Alligator mississippiensis: one gene and its partner. The protein of the gene in region 1 interacts with the protein of each later gene in a pairwise test. Links are inferred from orthologs where the notes say so. Each region holds a gene or a part of one and is shown in the gene's direction. Other genes may lie near its edges. The genes, in order: RANBP9 and MKLN1.

What was found.
Region 2: the proteins of RANBP9 (region 1) and MKLN1 interact in a two-hybrid assay, tested with the Homo sapiens proteins (2 studies listed by BioGRID). The link is inferred for Alligator mississippiensis from reciprocal best matches to the Homo sapiens genes RANBP9 and MKLN1.

What each region holds. Positions count from the first base shown.
Region 1 is NC_081826.1:127,913,167-127,923,632, reverse strand, and holds the start of RANBP9 (ran-binding protein 9), read left to right. Parts: upstream 1-5,207; 5' UTR 5,208-5,281; coding exon 5,282-5,663; intron 5,664-10,466. UniProt on the Homo sapiens protein: May act as scaffolding protein, and as adapter protein to couple membrane receptors to intracellular signaling pathways. Acts as a mediator of cell spreading and actin cytoskeleton rearrangement.
Region 2 is NC_081827.1:8,994,738-9,005,380, reverse strand, and holds the start of MKLN1 (muskelin), read left to right. Parts: upstream 1-6,441; 5' UTR 6,442-6,456; coding exon 6,457-6,557; intron 6,558-10,643. UniProt on the Homo sapiens protein: Component of the CTLH E3 ubiquitin-protein ligase complex that selectively accepts ubiquitin from UBE2H and mediates ubiquitination and subsequent proteasomal degradation of the transcription factor HBP1.

The sequences.
Region 1 (10,466 bases):
CGTACAAGCAATTTTGTACTGCAAAGTGTGTTTTGGTTTCACGTTGCTATGCATATTGTTTTGTACTGCAAAGTATGCTTTAGCTTGAATATGATCATGTTTAATATGTGTCTGCTTTGCTCTATTCAGGGGCGACACGTAGGGGGTACATGTGGCAGTATATCCTCTGCAAAAAGGCTCCCCACTCACCGCTGCCAGGCTTCCATCACCAAGCTTCCACCATCGCCAGCACAGCCATGCCCCCCAGCCACCGGAGCCATGTGCCATTCATGGTATATGATTTCTGTATTTGCTGTATCTTGTCTCCTCTCCTCTGCTTGGTGTTCTGTGGAGAAGAATGCTGTCTGGGGAGGTTGACAGGTAAGCCCCCTGCAGTGTCCTGGTATCTGTGGCCTTTTGGTTTAGGACCCCCTGCTTCCCCCCATGCTGAGACCAGAAAGCCTGGTCTTCCTCAAGTACAGCTTGAAAATCAGATCCCTAGCCTGATTGGCTAGACTGGACAGTGTTCTTTTTCTTAAATTAATTGCTCAAGAAAGAGGCTGGAAGCATGGCAAACCCTGATTAGGATACTTGGGGTGATGTCATGCCAAGGTATATAGCAATCTTTCAGCTAGGCAGCTAGCTGCAAGGCTGCAGAGCTGAATGCAAGCTCAGGAGAACGGCTCCTCATGGGGAGGGTCTCCCTCCCTTTCACTGGAGAAGCAAGCTGAAGCAATTTGAAGGGGAAACCTCAGATAAAGGGAGAGAGCATCTGTCTTAGTGTTTGGGGCTCTTCTTTCCTTCTTCCCTCCCCCTTTTTCCTTCTGGGTTTTGAGTGAGATAATACCATGGAGGTATTAATCCCTGGAGCAAACTGACCAGGATTGGAGCCTGGCAGTTTTTGGTCAGAGTTGAAGCCTGGTTCTTTTGTTGCTTTTGCAGCTTCTTTGTCCCAGCTAAGCTGTGTGGCTGGGACCAGCTGTAGTCCAGGCCCCGATGCAGGATAGGCCTGGCCAGTGGCAATGCATAGGGGGTGCACAGGGGTGAAGTAAACTGATGCTTATGAAAGCTTACAAATCTCAAATTTAGTCTATAAAGTACAAATCTACCATTACAGATAGTAACAGCAACTCTCTAACTGTGAGAGGGGTTAAGCACTGGAATATACTACTGAGACTGTGGAATCCCCATCCTTAAGAACATATTAGACCAGTGGTGATGCATAGGGAGGTGCACAGGGATGGATGTGCACCCCCTAAGAGCACTGGTGCACCCCCTGTTCAGTCACGCTCACTGCTTAGGTGATGGGCATGGGGGCAGACGGGAGCACCAGTGCCCCCTCCCCCACTCCTTCCCCCCCCCCCCCCCCCGCAAGTGCCAGCCGATCACTGCAGCTGCTCCCAGAAGTGGCCGCAGCCACTCCTGGAAGCGGCTGAAGCGATCAGCCTTCATGGGATTGGCCATGGGGGGACTCCCCCAGCCCGGGCAGTGAGATCAGCCGTGGGGGGGGGGGCCTCCACCCAGTCAGCGGGACTACTTGCACATGCCCCCCTTGACTAAGGCAGCACCAGACGCCCATGGGCCTGGCTCCTCTTTGAGTTCTTTTGCAGGTTGCTGCCCCAGCAGAGCTGTGTGATTAGGACTAAGAATTGTGGGGGTGCAGTATGCTGACTGAAGCTGCAGGCACCTCGTCACACCCTCTCCACAGGAAGTGGTGATCAGTGTCTTACAGCTTCCCAGGGAGCAATGACATTTGAACCTGGCACTTGTTGCTGCCAACTGGTGCCCAGGAGAGAGATCTATATTTGATTTCCAGAGAAGAAGAAGAAAAAGAAGAAGAAGAAGAAGAAGATGAGGAGGAGGAGGAACTTACTCCCATGTGTCAGGGCAAAACAGTAACCCTGACCCATGTCTCATGACTACAAGAAATCCTGTTCAATCTCGCTAGCATTTTTGAATATCACACCTTTATTACACCATATGCCACTTAGTTCAGTGAAATCATAATGATTTGCTTCTAGGGCTCCTACTTCCCAGTTCCAACTGCTCGGGAACCATGTGCATAAAAGTAGGAGTGCATGTGATATATCTGTATCTGTCTCGTACTGAATTTTAGCAGCTGGGAACAGGGAGAAGGAGAACCAGCTCTGCGGGGTGCTTTGTCACCACCAGGAAGGACTACACTTTGGAAGGACTCCTCCTTTCAAAACCCTACAGTCTGAAATGTTCTTTGGAATAACTGTGGATTAAATAAAATAGAAGAGAAGCTGTTTAATTTGTCAGATATAGCAGCCCTTTGAGACCACATCTGAAAATGCTCAGGCCCCTCTGTGGGGAGCTGTCTTAGTCTGAATCATAGAATTATAGGGAAGTGGTTGGAAGGGTCAAGAGGGATCTCAGGAGGTCGTTTAGTTCAACCACCTGCTCAAAGAAGGACTATCCCTAGCTATATAATCCCAGCCAAGTCTATGTCTAGCTGGGTCTTAAAAACCTCCAAGGATGAAGATTCCACAACCTGTCTGGGTGGCTTGTTCCAGTGCTTTACTCCTATCCTAGTGAGAAGGTGTTCCCTAATATCTAAATTAAATTTCCCTTACTGCAACTTGAGACCATTACTCCTTGTTCTGTCATCTGTCACCACTGAAAACAGTCTAGCTCCATCCTCTTTGGACACCCCCCTTCAGGTAGTTGAAAGCTGTTATAAAATCCCCTCTCAGTATTCTCTCCTCCAGACTAAAGGAGCCCAGTTCTTTCAGCCTTTCCTCAGAACTCATGTCCCCCCAGCCCCCTCACCATTTTTGTTGCCCTGTACTGGACTCTCTCCAATTTATTCACATCCTTTCTGTAGTGGGGGGCCCAGAACTGGACATAGTACTTCAGATGTGACCTTGCCAGTTCCAAATACAGAGGAAGAATTTCCCTTGATCTGCTGGCAATGCTCCTATTAATGCAGTCCAGTATGCCATTAGCCTTCTTTGCAACAAGGTCACGCTGTTGGCTCATATTCAGTTTATTGTCCACTGCAAGCCCCAGGTCCTTTTCTGCACAGCAATGAAGTCAAGCAGCAGATAGTGCAGGGTGGCACTTCAGAGCAGTGGTTCTCCCCTGCTTTAGACTTCAAGGCAGATGTGCATTCACAGGGGAGGCACTGATGCAATTGCACGCCCCTTTGATTCCTAATCCATCCAAACCTTAAAACCTGTGCCTGGCAGCAGCATTTCTAGTCAGGCAGTAATGAGGAAGTCACTTGACTTCATGGCTCATTATCATCTACCTGATCCCTTTTAAACTCTACATTGCACAGGTGTTAATGACTGTTTCTTCTTTTTAATTGTCTTGATATTCTACCACTCAAGCTCGCCTTTGTTCTGCAGTTCTGCTGTGTGTTCACAGCTCCTGCTCATGAAGCTCCTATTTCACAGCACTGCACACTGTTTTAAAATTATTCCAATGAAGCTGGTTTTTGCTTCTATCTTAAATTCAGTCATATAGCTGTAGGCCCCTAGGGCAGGGGTCAGCAACATTTTTGGGCAGAGTGCCGAAAACATCTGCAACCTCAATTTGTAAGATGTTTGTGTGCCAGGGCAGACAATGGGGGAGCCATAAGTGGCCCAATTCTTGTTATGGCAGCACAGGCCCGACCCCTTCCCTGCTGTTCAACCCAAGGCAGGAGTGCAAAGCAAAATGCCTTTGAGTGCCACACTCTGGCACCTATACCGGGGGTTGCCAACCCCTGCCCTAGGGGATTAGAAAAGATTCTAGTTTAACTGGAGAAATATATGTGTTGTTTTACACATGACGATGTACCTCACCACCTGCACCCCCCTTTCCAAAATTCTAGATCCACCCCTGGCCCAGGCCCAGACAGAGGTGGTGGGGAGGTGACTGAGTCTGAAGTCAGACAGCAGGCAGGGCAGGGTGGCACCTTAGAGCAGCGCTGCTCCATCTTTTTAGACTTCAAGGCACCCCCTGGCGAGATGCGAGGCACCTCTGGAAAAATGCCCATTCTTCATTTTCACTCTTTTTTCCCACCCTGACTACAGAAACATAACACGGCTGTTTTTCTGTGGCAAAGAACTCGGGATTACGGGCGTCTCCAGGAACCACAGAATCCCATTTGAAACCTGCGCTCTGATCTTGCCAATCCTGTCCACCAGTGCACCAGGGCTGGCGTGGTGGGGCATTGGCTGTGGAATGGGTGGACCACCCAGGCCATGGCCCAACCAACTTTTAGCACATTAATTTAGCTAGCTATGCAGTTAAAAAAAATAGCTATACAGTTTTAAGCGGAATGACAATTGGGCATTTGTGGGTTATATAAATTAATATGCTAGAAGTTGGTCGGGCCATGACCCTGGTGGCCCACCCGTTCCGCAGCCTATGCAGTGGGGCACCTTGCTGCAGCACCCTGGTTGGAAATGGCTACCTCCAGGTGTCCAGAGGAGGCAGGAGCTCTCCTAGGTGCCAGGGTTCAAATGATGGGGGAACGGAAGGGGGGGGCATTGAGCCTAATAAAATCAGAGTCCCCACAGGTTATGATGTTCAGATCTTAGAGGGGGGCTCTTGTCTTATGGGGAGATAAGAGACAAGAGCCCCCCTGTAAGATTTGAAAATCGTAACGGGTGGGGTGTCTTTGATTTTATTCAGGCATCATGATGGGCAGCCCAATTTTTTGTGCAGATCCCTGAGGCAAAGTGTAATCCAGGGGTGGTCAAAATGCGTCCCGTGGGCCAGATGTGGCCTGCCAGGCCATTCTATCTGGCCCCCAGGGCCCCTAAAAAATGGAGAAAATTAATATTTATTTGCCCCTGGCTGCCTGTCATGCGGTCCTCGATGGCTTGTGGAAAGTCCATAAGCGGCCCTCCGCCCAAAATAATTGCCCGCCCCATGTAGTCCAAACCCTGGCTAGGACTAGGAGTGGGCTTGTTGCCTCCTGAAGGTCAAGCGCCTCTCCCTGCAGGGCAGTGAGAAGCCCTCCAGTGTCTCCCCATGTACGTGTGGAGAGAAGGAGAGGGGACCCCAGTGCAGGGGGGCGGGGCCGCAGCCTCGCGCCTGGTTTCGCGGTCACGCCGTAGCCTCCTTAGGAGCGGAAGCCACACCCCTCCCGCCGGGTGGGGAGGGGCCGAGTCTCGCGCACACCTCGGACGTCACCGGCGGAAGCCCCGCCCCCTACCCCCGCAGGAAGCGGCTCAGCTGAGCCGGGACGCACCGCGGTGCCCCTCCCCCTCCCCGCGTCAGAGCGCGGCTGCAACCATCGCCCCCCGCCCCGCCCCGCGCAGCCAGCGGCCCAGACCCGGCTGGGATGTCCGGGCAGCAGCAGGTCCCGCAGGCCCCGGCCCTCGCCGGCCCCGCGCAGGCCCCGGCCGCCGCGCTGCTCCTGCACCCGCCACCACCGCCGCCGCCCGCCACCGCCGCCCCGGCCCCGCCGCCGCCGCCCCCGCCGCCGCCTGCAGCCACCGCCGCGCCGGGGCCCGGGGCCGGGCCGGGGGGGAGCAGCGCGGCGGCGCCCTTCCCGCACGGCGATGCGGCCCTCAACGAGCAGGACAAGGAGCTGAAGCGGCGGCTGCGCCGGCTCTACCCGGCCGTGGACGAGCGCGAGACGCCGCTGCCGCGCTCCTGGAGCCCCAAGGACAAGTTCAGCTACATCGGCCTCTCGCAAAACAACCTGCGCGTCCACTACAAGGGTCAGCGCCCCTCCCCCACGCCCCGCACCCCCTTCTCCCCTCCCCCACCCCCCAGTTCACCGTCAGAGCCCTCCCCATCCCCCCCAACCCCTCCATTAGCACCCATCTCACCCTCCTGACCTGATCAGCAACCCCCCTCCTGATCAGCACCTATCTCACCCCCCAACCTGGTCTGCACTACTCTTCCCCGTCAGTACCCATTCCTCCCTCCCAGTTATCTCCCATCTTGGCACCCATCTCCCTCCCCCTGGTCAGCCCCCATCTCACCCCCCCAGCACCCCTCTTCCTATCCTTCCCCCTCCCTCACTGCCCCTTGCTCTGGGGTGGGAAGGGTCCCCCCCCAGGGTGTAGGGGGAAGGGAGGGAAGGCAGCAGCACTACAACAATAACAGGAAGCCAGGCCTGTCTGCTCTTCTTGGGATTCCACCCCCTCAGGAGTTTACATGGGTGTGAGTGGGGTGGGGGGTGTGATTCAAGTTCATTTCCCCCCCCCCCCCCCCCCCCCCCCCCACTCACTTGCTGCATGAGATCCTGGGAGGAGAAGAGGGAAGGTAGAAGAGTCAGAAATGGCCTGTGTTAAGCAAAGGGTTCTGGAGGGAGAAGAAAGGAGACTGAGCAATTCAGAAGCAGAAACGTTCTTTTTTTTTGTCTAGGAAGAGAGCGAGGACATGGGTGAGATCAGGCCCCTGGAAATGCTGCGGAGCCAGGCACAGGGAGGGTGCATCTCTGTGTGTAGGAGAGCAAAAAAAAAAAAAAAAAGTGGGGGGGGCAGGGAGGGAGTCTGTCTGTCCGTCCCCCTGCACCCCCCCCCCCCCCCCCGGGCATCCAGCCAGGGGTAGGCCTCTGAGGGGTCTTGAGTGGGAAGATTAGGATTTAAGACGTAAAGCAAGGAATATTACAGTTCATGCTGTGGTTTCCCGTGACTTGCTTGTCAAATTGGCAGCAGCAAAGGTATAAAATATTATACTCGTGTAGGGCAGCAACAATAGAGGCTGTAAGTGTTGGTTGTTGTGAACATGTCATAGAAGCCATAAGGGTATGAGTTTACCCTGACCTATTAAAAAAGGGCGCACGCAGGCACGCAGACTCACATCTGGTATTCTAGGCCCAAGTCCCGAGTGCTTCGGATCAAAACAACTTCTGAGTTGGCTTCAAGGGGAGGTCTTTGGTCACAGTGTAGTCAAACGAATGTAGAAGAAGGGGAAAACCCTTGTGATTACCCTTTCTCTAAGTTTACAGTAGTGAAATTGAAGTGAAATCTTGATAAACATGTTACTGTTTAATCAAAGAGGAGGAAAATGGCAACACAAACATACAAATGGTAGGATTTGGCCGCTGTAAAAGGATTTGATGTACTTTGCAAGGTATTCTACAAGAGGCAGGGCCTAGTGTGTATTGTATGAAATACTTCATTCAAATAATATTTAAGTTGCAGACTTGCAAAGCTAGTAAATTCAGAGTTGATGACTTATTATGGCCTTCTGGAGGACCCTAAGAAGGAAAGATATGTTGTGTAATATTAAACTTTGAATTTCCTGACTTCTTTTCAGGTATTTATGACCTGGGGATTTTTAGAAGTGTATTATAGTTGATCTAGTTTGACTGTTAAGTTTTTCATCACGTGCATGTAGCTTTCTGCCAAGTTTGCTCACTTGTTTTGCTGTGATTTTCTAAAATGGTGAGCTAAAAACAAATAAATAAGGAATCGTTCTGGTCTGTTGGCTTCCTACAAAAGTACATTTTTATGATTTTTTTTTTCTTTCTTGCTTTACCTGTCATCTCCCCCCCGTCTCTAAAAGTTAAAACCATATTGCTGCATCTTGTTGCAATTTCTTTGAAGAAATTATGAATGAATGTTAAACATTGGCTATGCTGACTACCCGACATGTTCACTGCCTACAGAGATCGAGGCCATAGAAATACATTATGTAAGCTGGGACACTTAAGTAATTAGTGACAACTAAAGGGAGCCTCACCTAATAAGAATGTAGGGGGAATGTTGGCTAGTTCTTTAGTAAGTCAACTTGGAGATTACCAGACTAACACATAGGTATGTGGATCAGAAAAGGTGGTCTTAGAAGGGTAGCCCCTCTTCTAACTGCAAACATGCTGTTGTTTAAAGCAGTGAATGGCTCCTTAAAAATTGAACTTTTCTCCCCTTTTATCCTGAATCTTAATGGAGATAGGTACTGCTGCAGCTTCAGGAAGAAAACTTTCAGAATCTCTCTGATTTTGTAAAGTGCTGGAACTGGCAATACATCTGTGGCTATCTGGGCAGTAGGAAAAGAACCGGAATTGGCATTGCTTTTGATAAAGATTTTGAAACAAATGTGTGGGTTGTTGGTGGAAATCTGTGGGATCTTCCACCAGCATCCTTGAAAAATAGATCCAGTCAAGAAGTGGGTAATGTTAAAAGCAATGACTCCATTAGTCTTGTTGATTCTTGGATGCATTTATTCAGGCTTCCTTTGCTCGTGCAACATTCTGATAATAGAAATGGCTTTTTTTGGAGGTAGTTGCTCCCTATCTGTGACTGACAGGAAGTGCTGTTTCTGGTAACATCAGTGCTTTTTTTTCCTAGCTTGTTTCCCCTTTCCATTCCACCTTTTTTCTTCTTTTTACTTCCACTGTAGTTAAATGTCCTAAGTTTGTCTTTCTGACAACATATTGGAGTTAAAGGTAGCAACCACTTGAGTGAACCATCCAAAAAAAAAAAATGTATGTATGTACAGTCCTCAAACTGCATGCTGACATACAGACATGTGCACACAGGCACGTGCGCACACATATATATGCACACGTACGTGTGTGTATATGCGTGGATGTGTATGCATGTCACTATGCAGTTTGCAGACTGTATTTTGCCCACCCAATCAAGGAAATGCAATATCTTGAAATCCTAATATACTTCTGTAACATTACTGTACAAAAGAGCTGCTTCTCAGTTTGTAGCCTGTTCTTTGTTTTTTCCAATCGCTTAATAATTTGAATCTACTGCTTTATTTGGGTGCTTTGTGCCTGAAATCTTGTCTTGCCTCTCTCCCAATTACATAGTTTCTCCAGTAAAGATACTGCCAAAGAACTCTTGCTTCTGTCATCATGTCAGACAAAAAAGTCTTATACAATTTTTGAATAAATGGACTTTGCTGGGATCCCCCCCCTTCCCTCCCCCGTAAATACAGGTATTTCTGAGTGGCTTCCAATGTCGGGTTAAAAAAATCTTCTAGTTTTATCTCCACTTCTAGGTGCTTCTTCACATTTGTCTAGTAGACAAAACAGGGTTCTGATGGAAATAATCCTATATGAGCTTATCAAGAGCATTTTAAATTCATTCAGTAACATTTTGGAGAAACCGAGATGGATCTACTTTACTGTACCAAATATAGCCAAGGCAGCAATACAGAGGCCTATTTTGTACAGTTAAAGCAATCACAGAAATTGAAGTCACTGAGTAACTGCTTACAGGTCTTGATATTTTTAGTCTGAGTAAAACCTTTCCCCTGTATCCACTTAAGTTTCTGTTCAATTTTTTTAGCCGATTCCTGCAGTTTCCCAATAACATTAGTCATTTTAAACTATATTTACCTAAAGTATGTATTTACAAATTAATAACATAGGATCATAGGATGAACCCGAAAGCTTGCTTAATAACTATTCTCCAACCATTTGGGTTGGTCTAATAAAAGATATCAAATTCACCCAAGGAACCTTGTCTAACACAGGATCATACATCCCAGTAATTTTGCCAAGGAGATCCCTTTGACTTAAGTAAGGTTAGTTAATGTTTATGGAGTTACTCATTTATATGTTTATAGCATTGGGCCTTAATATTAGGTTTTAAAAACTAAAATAATTTCTGTGATTATCACTACCTTATCTCTGTTTTAGCTGGTTATTTCAAGTGTATGTTGTTTAAATTTAGCTTATTTTTAATACTAATTTAATTTCAGAGGGAAATTTCTGTTTCTAAAGACCTTATGATATATTTTTTTAATAAAAGTTAATTAATATCACTAACAGCTGTTAAAATAACTTTTTATTTATAAAGTGAGTTAGTCTCAGTTCTTTGATCAAAGTGATTGCAGGTTTTTATAAAGACTTCGAAGTAAAATTAAAATTTACAGGAAGGTAGTGGAAATTGCTGTGTAAGACTCTTGCAGAACACTTTTTTAATGATGAAAAAAGGCTTTTAGTCTTTAATCTTTCACACACTTTAAAAATTGTCATCCTATTATAGACTATATCTTAAACTCTGTAAAAGTCTTACTATTGAAAACTTCTATTTCAGGTAACGTAGAGAAAAATGTTGGGAGGCTTTATGGGGTGCTCCTTGCAATGCTTAAGATCCAACTGACTGCATTTCTTGCATTTTGAATTTACTATCAAAGTAGTAACTACAGACCATCTAGAATAAGCATATTTTTAAAATTAGAGGCTACCTTATAGGTTAGAAAAGAGATCTTTAAAAAGGACAGCATCTTGAAATTTAGTCAGTTTTCCAAACCCATTTTAGTTTGGATATCATTGGATAATAGTAATAGATTTGCAACCACATTTTCCTATTTTTTAAAATGTTTTCCTCCTCCTCCTTTTTTGGGAAATTTGATTCAATTGTTTAGTGAAAACAGTGAAACTACAGGGATTTCCATAAAATATACAAAGAGAAGTACAGGAATATTTTCCTGTAATTTATAACTGTATCTCTTGGGTTTTTATTTTTAAATGTTAGGAAATATTTATTTTTATTTTAGGGATTAAGTGATATCTAAACAGGGATGTCTGAGTTAATGTTCTGTTCAAGGAT
Region 2 (10,643 bases), on another chromosome or scaffold:
AACTTAATCTAGTCAAGCACCTCGGTGCCATGCCTGGATAGGCACGTTCCTCTGATCTGCTACTCTCAGGAACCCTCTTTTTCTTTTGCTCTTCCCCCTTCTAGGATATCATCTTTTTTTCCCTTACTAATGTCTCTGGAATTTAATTTATGAGGTTCAAGGTCCATTCTCTTCCCTATTTATCTCACTGCATCTCACTGGCCCTGGCCTGAGCCATTTTTCCACTGTCTCCTCCTCTATGTCCCCAGGAGAAACAAACTGCTAACCCACCCCTGCCAGAAAAATCCTTTAAAGATGGTCCAACTTACTAGACCCTCCTATAACTACTCAATACTTACAAATTCTGGAGCCCAAGTAATATGTCAACTAAAATGATGAAAACCAGCATGGTGGGCATCTGAAAATCCTTACGATCACTCTTTTCACTTTTTCTCCACTACCCATGCTGTCTTGTGAGATGACTGAATGGAGTTATTACCTCAGTCCAGAAAATAAGAGGATGCTCTCGACCCAAAAAGGCAAAGATGTATCTGTGTTACTAGCAACAGGAATAAATAACTCTGTAGCATCAGTGGCAAAGTACTGTGCTACCTACGCAATGCAGGAGAGACAGGTTGGATCCCTTCCCGCATGTAGACTGCTGAGCATACCTTTGTGCCACAGCTGCTTTCGACAAACAGGAAGACAAACACCATAAGCTGAAGAAAGAGAGGTATTTGCCTGTTTTATGGACTTTTAAAAAAGCTTGTGACTCACTAGCACCCTAGGCTCAGCTTTTAACGGATGCCAAATGGAATTGTTGGTGAAACACATGATACAATTAAATCTATGCACCAATCAATGGGCTGCAGGATAAAAATAAACCACATGCAAACAGATGCCTTCAAAGAATGAAAAGTGGAATAAGAGAGGGATGCAGAATCACTCCCACCACAAATATTCATCAACTACTTGTGCATTTCCTTTCTCATGTCCTTGTGACGAGGCATTTAGCGGTATTCACCGATTTGTTGGAACCTGACAGGGCTGTGCCATGAGCATTTCTGCTGTGGCCTTCAAATGTGCAACCTCTGGGTTGTCAAACATGTGCCTTAGCACCCACGTGACCCCAGGCCCCCTAACTACTCATGCCAGTCCAACAGATCTCTCTAGGCAGTGACCTCAGAAAGGAAGAAAAAAAGGAAAGAAGAATACTGCAAGATATTGATACTGACTGCAAAATATTAAGAGATAAAATGGCCATAGCTTAGCTGATGTAAATGGACCGAGGAAACATTTCCACTGATATATATATATAAATAGATAGATAAATAGATCTATCTATCTATCCTGTTATATATCAGTTGAGGATTTAGGAGCACAGGAAGGCAGAACCAGAAAGGACCACCTGGGTCAGTGAGTCAAGTCCCCTACAACTGCAGGCTACTGGGCACCTGTATGCAAATGCTTGAATGCCCATTAGCCTATTTTAATGTGCATTAAAGTGTCACAACCCCCCCCCCCCCCCGTACCCTTTTAATGCATGTTAAAATAGGCTAATGCATCCTTTTTCTAGTACAGGGGTGGGCAGTTATTTCATGCAGAGGGCCGCTTACTGAGTTTGGGCAAGCCATCTAGGGGTGCATGACAGGCAGCCAGGGACAGATGAATATTAATTTTCTAAATTTTTTAGGGGCCCCACAGGCTGGATAGAATAGCCTGGTGGGCTGCACCTGCCCGTGGGCCGCATTTTGCCTGCCCCTGTTCTAGTACCTCACAATGGAGGTACTAAATTTAATGTACATTAGCAAAAGCACATTAATGAACGTGTACATGCCAGCTGTATAATAGACATTAGGGTTGGATCACCGAGAACATCTAGGTCAGTCTCTCCTGCATGCCAGGTGCCCCAAAGTACTCCCTAAAAGCCAAAGACTTTAAAAGCTCTGCTACAGCGTGCCAAAGGCAAAGAGCAGAGGACACAAACAGCATTACTTTGGGTCTCTACAAGAGCAGGGAATTTTTTTCCTGAGGTCCCTGTATTAGAGGAAGGTAAAAAAAAAGCCCTCCAGAAGCATCTTCTAAACCTGACCCCAATTCTTTTTCCTAACCCCAAATTGGGCAATCTGTCTGACCTTGATGCAGGAGCAAGACCTGCCGGTCAGGCACAAGGTGTTTCTTGACACCTTCAAGTCCACAATGCAAAATTTCTCCCCATTTAACAGGCCTGATTCACCAAGCAGACACCAGCGGGGTTATTTAAAATCAGGGGTGCCAAACATATATCCCACAGGGCAGACCCAGGTCATGGGGCCACTCTGTCTTGTCCACCGACAGACCACTGGAAGTTGGGGGCTCTGGGCAGGGGGCCTGGCTTAGATTCCAGGGTCCTCTGGCCTTGGTAGACAAGGTGATCAGCGGCAGGAGGGCTAGTGAGGGCTGACAGTTTTGATTGCCCTACAGCTGCCTTGCTTATTGTCATTGAAGTGGCCCTGTCTCCCTGGCTGCCGGCTCCTGCCACTTGCCCCATTTTGGAGCTGCTGCCATTGCATGAAGCGCATGACGGTGGCAGCTCTGGCTCTGACACAGGGCATGCAGTGGGGCTGAAGCTGCTGCCACATGCCCTGGGTTGGAGATGGAGCTACTGTCATGCTGCTGCAAGCTCCTGGTTGCAGCCGGAGCTGCTGCTGCTTCCTCATGCCCTGGGCTGGACCTGGCACAAGGAGTGCCCTATAAGCCACGTCTGGCTCAAGACACAAGATGAGTCTGACACCCCCGTTTTTAGCAGTTTTATGCTCGTTCTGAGATCCTGGGCTATAACTTTTAATGAGTCTAAACTGGAATAGGAGGCAAAATGTATGACATCATTAAATCCATGCTCATCGGCTTCAAGATAAGAACAGATGACATGCAAATGGATGCCTTCAAAGAAGAAAAAGGCAGGAATTAAGCCCTCTATCTGTTCCAAATGATCTAATTATGTATCAGTCTTATTCAGTTCATCCCAAAACCATTATGAGATGAGTCTGAGGTAAGCAGCTATTGTACTCAGATGACCTTGACATGCTGCTGCCCACACAGGATCGCTTTCAGAAAACCCGGCATTTTCTCGCCCTCTATCTCCTCCGGTGCCTCATCTACCCTCCCCTCTATGCTCCTAGCTGTTGCATCCACTTGGAATACATTGCAGCTTAAGGAGACTGGATGATCTAGTGGAGAGACTTTGGACTGGGGCTCGAGAGACTTGGCAAACTTGCAAAACAGGCTTTCATAAGGATAAAGCACACTCCCGATTGTGAAATCCTTGGACACTGCAGTCATGAAGCCACACAGATACCTACAGAGTATGGGGATTTTTGTTAATCCCAGGAGATATTCTGCACACCTAATTCTGTGCACTTTTTAGAAAAGTTGCAGATGACATTAAATAGAGAGCAAATGCAGAGGGTGGGCAGGGCAGAGTAACAGCTCAAAAGATGTTTTAGAAACATGTACAGTCGATCAGATAGTAAGGATTATAAGGTTATACTTGGCTTGGAAAAAGGTAAACTAATGTTTGGGGAGGGCACATCTTTGAAATGCAGATGGACATGGGAAAGCTGGGGGCAGTAATGGTGGAACATATGGTCAGGATGGACAATGTCGGGACGGCAGGGTCATAAGCAAAACAGGCCGTGCCACCGTGACTGCTTATGAATGGACATTGCATTAAAGAGAAGGGAAGCAAAAAAAATCTTTTGTGAAAGGCTGTGTGGTGTGATTGTACCCGACACAATGCACTCAATGCAGGGCAGCGTGTTTCCAGAAAGATACCGAAAACTGGAGAGAATGAAAGAAAAGCAGAGAAAAAGACAAATAAACCTAGAGGAAAACATGCACTGACCTGAGCAAGGCTGGTGAAAACAGGAGTGGAAAGACAGAATTTGATATAAGTGAGCAGAGGAAGGGCTGCGATCAGGACAGGGAAAGAGCAGGCTGAATATCACCCTGCCAGGGAAATGCATCTGGCTGTAAATCCTTACGATCACTCTTTCAACTTTGTCTCCACTACCGATGCTGCCTTGTGAGATGATCGAACGGAGCTATTATCTCCGTCCAGAAAATAAGCCGATGCTCTCAGCCCAAAAAGGCAAAGATTTATCTGCATTACTAGCAACAGGAGTAAATCACTCCGTAGACTCCCAAGGGAAGTGGTGGGAGGTCCCTTGTGTGCAACTCGTAAAAATGTAATTATTTACTTTTATTACTGCTGTGTCGAAAAGCCACAATCACGAGCCAGGGCTCCCAGGTGCTAGGCGCTGTACAAATACACGCCCAAAGAGTGAAAACAGCTGGTTTCAAGCTGCAGCATGGGGGAGAATGATGCACAGGCTAATGACAGATGAACAGGATGGTCTGGCTAGTCTTTCCATCCCGCACGTCCGAAAAGCGAGAGAAAGGGCACCATGCTCCATAGCAGCTGTGAATCAGCAGTGGACGAGGAGGAGGAGGAGCGATCCTGGGGATGGGGAAGGCTCTTTCAATGGTTTTACTTGTTCATCTGCTCCTTCCTGCCCTGGGCTGGGCAGGTCAGCTGAGCTTTCGGCTGACATGCAATCAGACCACAGAGCAGGGGCCAGACCAGGTCTGAGCCAGGCTGTCCCTGTCAGGCTCTCCAAGGCAGACAGGATTTCCGCTCCATCCTTGTCCTGGCACCACCCGGATGCCACAATGAAGTGTCCATGTCTAGCGAGGAGCATAGCTCAGTTGTGTGAGAAGTGAGGACCTTTGTGGGTGGTATCTTTTATTGGACCAGCTATGTGACTGCAAAAGGATCCTGCCCAACAGCCTGGTTGAGAATCACTGTATTAAGTAGCAGCGGACAAACAATGAACAGAAGAAAAGCAGCTGAGGACAAAAACAGACAACTGTTTTGATGCAAATCTTGAAGGAATCGGGCCTGGATCGAACCGTTGTGTCCAGCTGCCCGTCGTGTGCCTTTGGAGGGTGTTGTGTCCATTTCCCTGGAGCGCCGGCATGGTGCGGGCTGTGAACAGGGCGCTCCCGTCGGTGTCTGTGTGTCTCCATCCCGTCTGTTTCTCTTGTAGGACTTTGCTCGGGGGCCTGGCATCTGTCCGGTTTCCCCGGAGGTGTCACGAGGGCACATGGTGCGCTGCATCGCGTCTGGGGAAAGGCCGTGCGTGTGCAGCTCTGTCGCACGGGGCTGCCGTGGCCTGGGCCTCCGGAGCAGCCCCCTCCTGGCGCTGACCTGGCCCCACGCAAGGGACCCGAGCAGGCCGGGCTGGAGGCCTCCGAACCTGCCTCCGATTTGGGGCTGGACTAGATGCCTCGGGAGCCCCGGTGCTGCCCAGTGATGGGGATCGCACCCGAAACCAGGCGCTGGCAGAGCCCGGGGGGGCGGGGGGGGGCAACTGCCCCATCCGCCTGCGTGTGTGGGGGGTCGGGAGGGTCTGTCCCTCGCACGGTCCCGCCTGCCTGGGTGTGTGCGGCGTGTGTTGGGTGTCCATCCGAAGGTCCTGTCCTCTGTGCATGTGTGTGTGCTTGTGTGTTTGTTTGTGGTGAGTGTCTGCGTCTGTGGTGGGTGTGTGTGTCTGACTGTCCTGTGTGTGTGTGTGTCTGACTGGTGTGTGTGTGTGTGTCTGACTGTCCTCTTTCTGTGTGTCTGTGGGGTGTGTCTGACTGGTGTGTGACTGTCCTCTGTGTGTGTGTGTGTGGGGGGGGGGTGTCTGACTGGTGTGTGTGTGTGTGTCTGACTGTGCTCTTTTTGTGAGTCTGTGGGGTGTGTCTGACTGGTGTGTGACTGTCCTCTGTGTGTGTGTGTGTGTCTGTGGGGTGTGTGTGTCTGTGGGGTGTGTCTGACTGGTGTGTGACTGTCCTCTGTGTGTGTGTGTGGGGGGGGGGTGTCTGACTGGTGTGTGTGTGTGTGTGTGTCTGACTGTCCTCTTTTTGTGTGTCTGTGGGGTGTGTCTGACTGGTGTGTGACTGTCTTCTGTGTGTGTGTGTGTGTGTCTGTGGGGTGTGTGTGTCTGTGGGGTGTGTCTGACTGGTGTGTGTGTGCGACTGTCCTCTGTGTGTGTGTGCGACTGGAGGTGTGCGTCTGTCTGACTGTCCTCTGTGTGTGTGTGTGCCTGTCTGTGGGGTGTGTCTGACTGGTGTGTGTGTGTGTGTGTGAGACTGTCCTGTCTGCGTGCGTGTCTGACTGTTGTGTCTGTCTGTGGGGGTGTGGGGGGTGTCTGACTGTCGTGTCTGTGTGTGTCTAACTGTCCTGTCCTGTGTGTGTGTGTGTGTGTCTGACTGTCCTCTGCGTGTGTGTGACTGTTGTGTCTGTCTGTGGTGTGTCTGTCAACTTGTCCTATCCCCGTGTGTGTCTGTAGCCGTGTCTCTCGTGTGTGTGTGAGAGAGACTCCCCGGCCGCGGCCCCTTTAAGAGCCCCCTCCCCCTCCCGTCCCCTCCCCCCGGCGCTGCGGCGCGGACAAGATGGCGGCGGCGGCGGCGGGGGCCGGGTGCGGGGCGGCGGGCCGGGTGCTGTCCTACGCCCTGCACCGCTGGAGCAGCTTCTCCTCCACCTACCTGCCCGAGTGAGTGCGGACCCCGCCCCGCCTCGCCTCGGCCCCGGCCTGGCCCCTCACCTCACCTCACTTCACCTCACCTCACCCCGCCCCGGCCCGGCCCGGCCCGGCCCGGCCCGGGTGCCGGGCCGCGCTCCCCCCCTGCAGGGCCTTGGGGCTGGTCCCGGCCCCGCGCTCGGCCCCCGCCCGGCGCCTGGGGGGGCCGCGATGTCACGGCGGGGGTGATGATGTCACGGCAGTGACGTCACTGCGGCCCCGCGCTCCAGCGGGGACTGGGCCTAGTTGGTGTGGTGTGTGGCGCTGTGCGCGCGTTGCGTTGCGTTGCCGGGTCAACGGGCAGGAAAGCCCACGTGTGCCCCAACCAGCCCCGTCCGCAAGGCCCATGGTCCTCTCCTGTTCGGACTTGGGGGCACGTCGGCTCTCACAGTTTGGTTTTTTTTGGGGGGTTTGCTGGTAAGAAACCAGATGGACACGGCCAAGACCTCAGGAACATCCTATTAGCCACCGCTGGGTTGACCTTTCCGACCCTGGGCCCTTCACAGGACCCGGCTACCAGTTGACACATTTATTATAATTATATGACAACAGATTTGTTACAATTATATGACAGCAATTTGCTGGTGGTCCTTAAGGTTGTATCAGTTTTAAATTGGCGGCACGCAGTCTGTCAGGGTTTGGGAGCCGCGGCCCTCGTGTCTGGCAGAGCCACTTTGCTGGGAAAGACCTTGAATGGTTCTTGCCCCCGTCTTGAAAACTTGTTTGGTTTTTCACAGTGTTTCAGGGAAGAGAGAAAATGTTGTGTGTAGTTCAGTATTGATCTCATTGCCGCTGCGTGCAGAAGTAATAGCTTCTCTCTCTTTCCCATCCAAAGAGACCATTAGTCCTTTTTTGCCTCAGCCTCTCATCAGCAGGGATCCTGGATTTCTCTGACTTTTACCAAAAAAAAATCCCCAATTTTTCAGATTTAAAAAAAAAAAAAAAAAGTAACCCAAAATCCACATTTTGGAGTGATTTTTTTTAAAATGAATCTCTATCTCCAGTAGTGTTTTGGTTTAATTGCACACACATGTGGATTTTGGGTTACTTTTTTAATCTGAAAATTGTGGAGATGTAAATAAATATATATATCTTCACAATTTTTATTTTATTTATATATCTATATAGATATAAAATAAAATTTTTTTTTTCCCTTAATCAGAGAAAACCAGGATCCCTGCTGATCAGTACCTTGTGTTCAGCTGGTTATCCTGGAGGCTGTCCCGAGTCCCCGCTTTCCAGGACACGGCCCCCTTGTAAATGTGGCTGCTGTTTGTAGGTGTCTGACCTCTTGCTGACCGTATTAAAATGTGTGTTTCGTTGAGCTTTCTCTGTATTAGCGACCCGTTGTTTGAGTTAGTTTTCACCTTGCTGACCTTCTGACAAAGTTGCTACCGTAATATATGTACTTTCTTCCAGATCTTTGATAAACACCTTGGAAATCAGGTTTGGCCTGAGTGATCCTTGTGTTAAGGAGCTGTCACTTTGCTTCCTACTAACTGCTTCCCTACTGCTGTGTTTGAGAGAGCTTAAATATGAAACGCACCTGGAAAAGGAAAGAGGAAGTCTTGTCCCTTTGCTCCAGGCTGATTTGTTTTGCCTCCCTTGAAGCAGACGTGTAGGTGGATCCTCTTGGTGTGGAGATGATTGATACTTATGGGATATTTACTATTGTTAAAAATGGGCTTGGTCTCCAGTATTGACAAAAGGAAAAAAAAAATGTTTTCCTGAAATATTGCTGCAAACCATGGTTAAAACATGGTTCAGTTTTACCTGACTAGGAAAACTGAATTATTTGAATGTAGCTGGGAAGAGTGTGCCAGTGTTAATAGCGGGAATCAATACTGTCTGCTGTTTCACCAGGATTGACCTTGGGCCACGTCAGCTGCGAGCAGATCGGTGCCTGCCACAGCTCTGTTGTTGCTAGACAAATATTAGTAGGGACTAAGATTTCCCCCCCCCCCCCCCCCCCCCCCCCCCCCATCCTTTCTCCTTGAATTGTACTGTCAAATAGTGCTTTAGATAATTGCCTTAAGTGAGCAAAAACACATTCCCTCTCTCATAGATTTCATAGACATTAGGGCTGGAAGGGATCTCATAAGATCATCCGGTCCAGCCCCCTGCCCAAAGGATCCCAGCAAGAAAAATGTCCAAATGTTTCTTGACAGTGGCCAGAGCAGGTGCTTGCACCACCTCTGCGGGGAGTTTGTTCCAGGCTGTGGGGGCTTGGACAGTAAAGCAGTTTTTCCTTATGTCCAGCCTAAAATGGTCTTGCAGGAGTTTGTGACCATTGGACCTTGTCATTCCCTGGGGTGCTCTGGTGAACAGGCGTTCCCCAAGATCCTGATGCACACCCCTGATGTACTTATAGGCTGCCACCAAGTCACCCTTGAGCCTGCGCTTCTCCAGGCTGAAGTCCCATTGCTCGCAGTCTGTTCTCTTGCTCTCTGATCATGCGCGTGGCTCTCCCCTGAACTCTTTCAAGCTTCTCTGTATCCTTCCTAAATTGTGGAGCCTGAAATTGGATGCAGTACTCCAGCTGCAGCCTCACCAAGGCCAAGTACAGTGGGAGGATGACATCCTGGGTCTTGCTTGAGGTGCATTGGTAGATGTAAGCCAGAGTTTTGTTCATTGTGCCAGATGTGGTATTGCATCGATAGCTCATGTTCATCTTGTGGTCAATCATGACCCCCAAGCCTCTTCCAGTCATGATGCTAGCGAGTGTAGCATTGTGGAGCCTATGAGTGTGATGCAGCTTTTTATTCCTGAGGAGGAGCATCTTGCATTTCTCCATATTGAATGCCATCAAGTTTTCATCTGCCCATCTTGCAAGCCTATTGAGATCAGCTTGGATCTCCCTGCTCCTTCCCCTCTTCTTCCCGTCCCTGTCCCCTCACACTTAGATGCACTGGTTGAGGTGAGATTTACTAATGTATTGGCTATTCTTGAATCTGAGTTTTGACCCATTTTTAAAAATGGTTTTAGCTGTAGTTGTATTGGTAGAGTATTTCCCAGTCAGCTGCAGGACATTTCCTGCATCTTAAACACTTCCTAAATTTCTCAACAGTCAAATATAGCTAACAATATTCAGGTCAGTGAATATAAATGCCCTTGTGGACAAGTTCAAACCATGTCTCAGACTGTTGACTTGGGTCCATTTACAAGGCTACATGGTGGTCTTCAAGCTCTTCACATTGGTGATAACATGGCCTGAAGATAGCTTAAACCATGTGCTTAAACAACATACGCTAAATAAAAAAATCATAATTTTGCATAACATATCACAACTATCACTGCATTGTAATGGCCTTTGCTAGCACCAAGCTGAGTTTAGCATTAAATTCTGAAAACTTACCTAAGGTGCAGTGATGATACCTTTATTAGACCAATTAAAAATTGCACAAAAATTATTTTTCTTTTTTGCAATTTCTTAGTTGGTTTAATAAAAGGTATCATCTCTGAACCAAGAGTCCTAGAGTTTTGCACTTCTTGTTGTATCAGACAACATGGCTACTAAGTACAACATCCCTTAAAGTACAGTTGCACTTATGTGTATATAAACGGTAGAAAAGGGACTGATTTTGATTATGTTCATTTGATGTCATCTGCTAGTAGGGTTGTCTTTTTCTAGCCTGTAACAGCTTCACTGTCAAAGCTTAGTTGTGATTTTGTGGTTCTTAAATTGCTTGAGAGATATATCTAGATATATATAGATAGATATCCAAGGTAAATAGATATTTATAAGGTAAAAGATGCCTTGGATTGGACTTTCATCTCTTGTTCCCTGGGCCAACATAAACTGGCATTACCAAAGAGTTGGCAGGCTCAAGCCCTGGGAACAAAGGGCTTTCTCATGTGCTAACATCCTTTAATTGAGTCTTTCACGCCTAAGATCTATTTTGGTGATAAAAATGGAAAATCCTCTCCTTAGAAGTTTCATGAAAGATATAAAGTAAAACTCAAGATTCACTTTATAATAGAAAGCTCTCTACTTACAAAAGTTTATGCTGTACATCTCTGATTTAGTTCGTCCTTAAAGATGCAAATGTACCCTGCCTT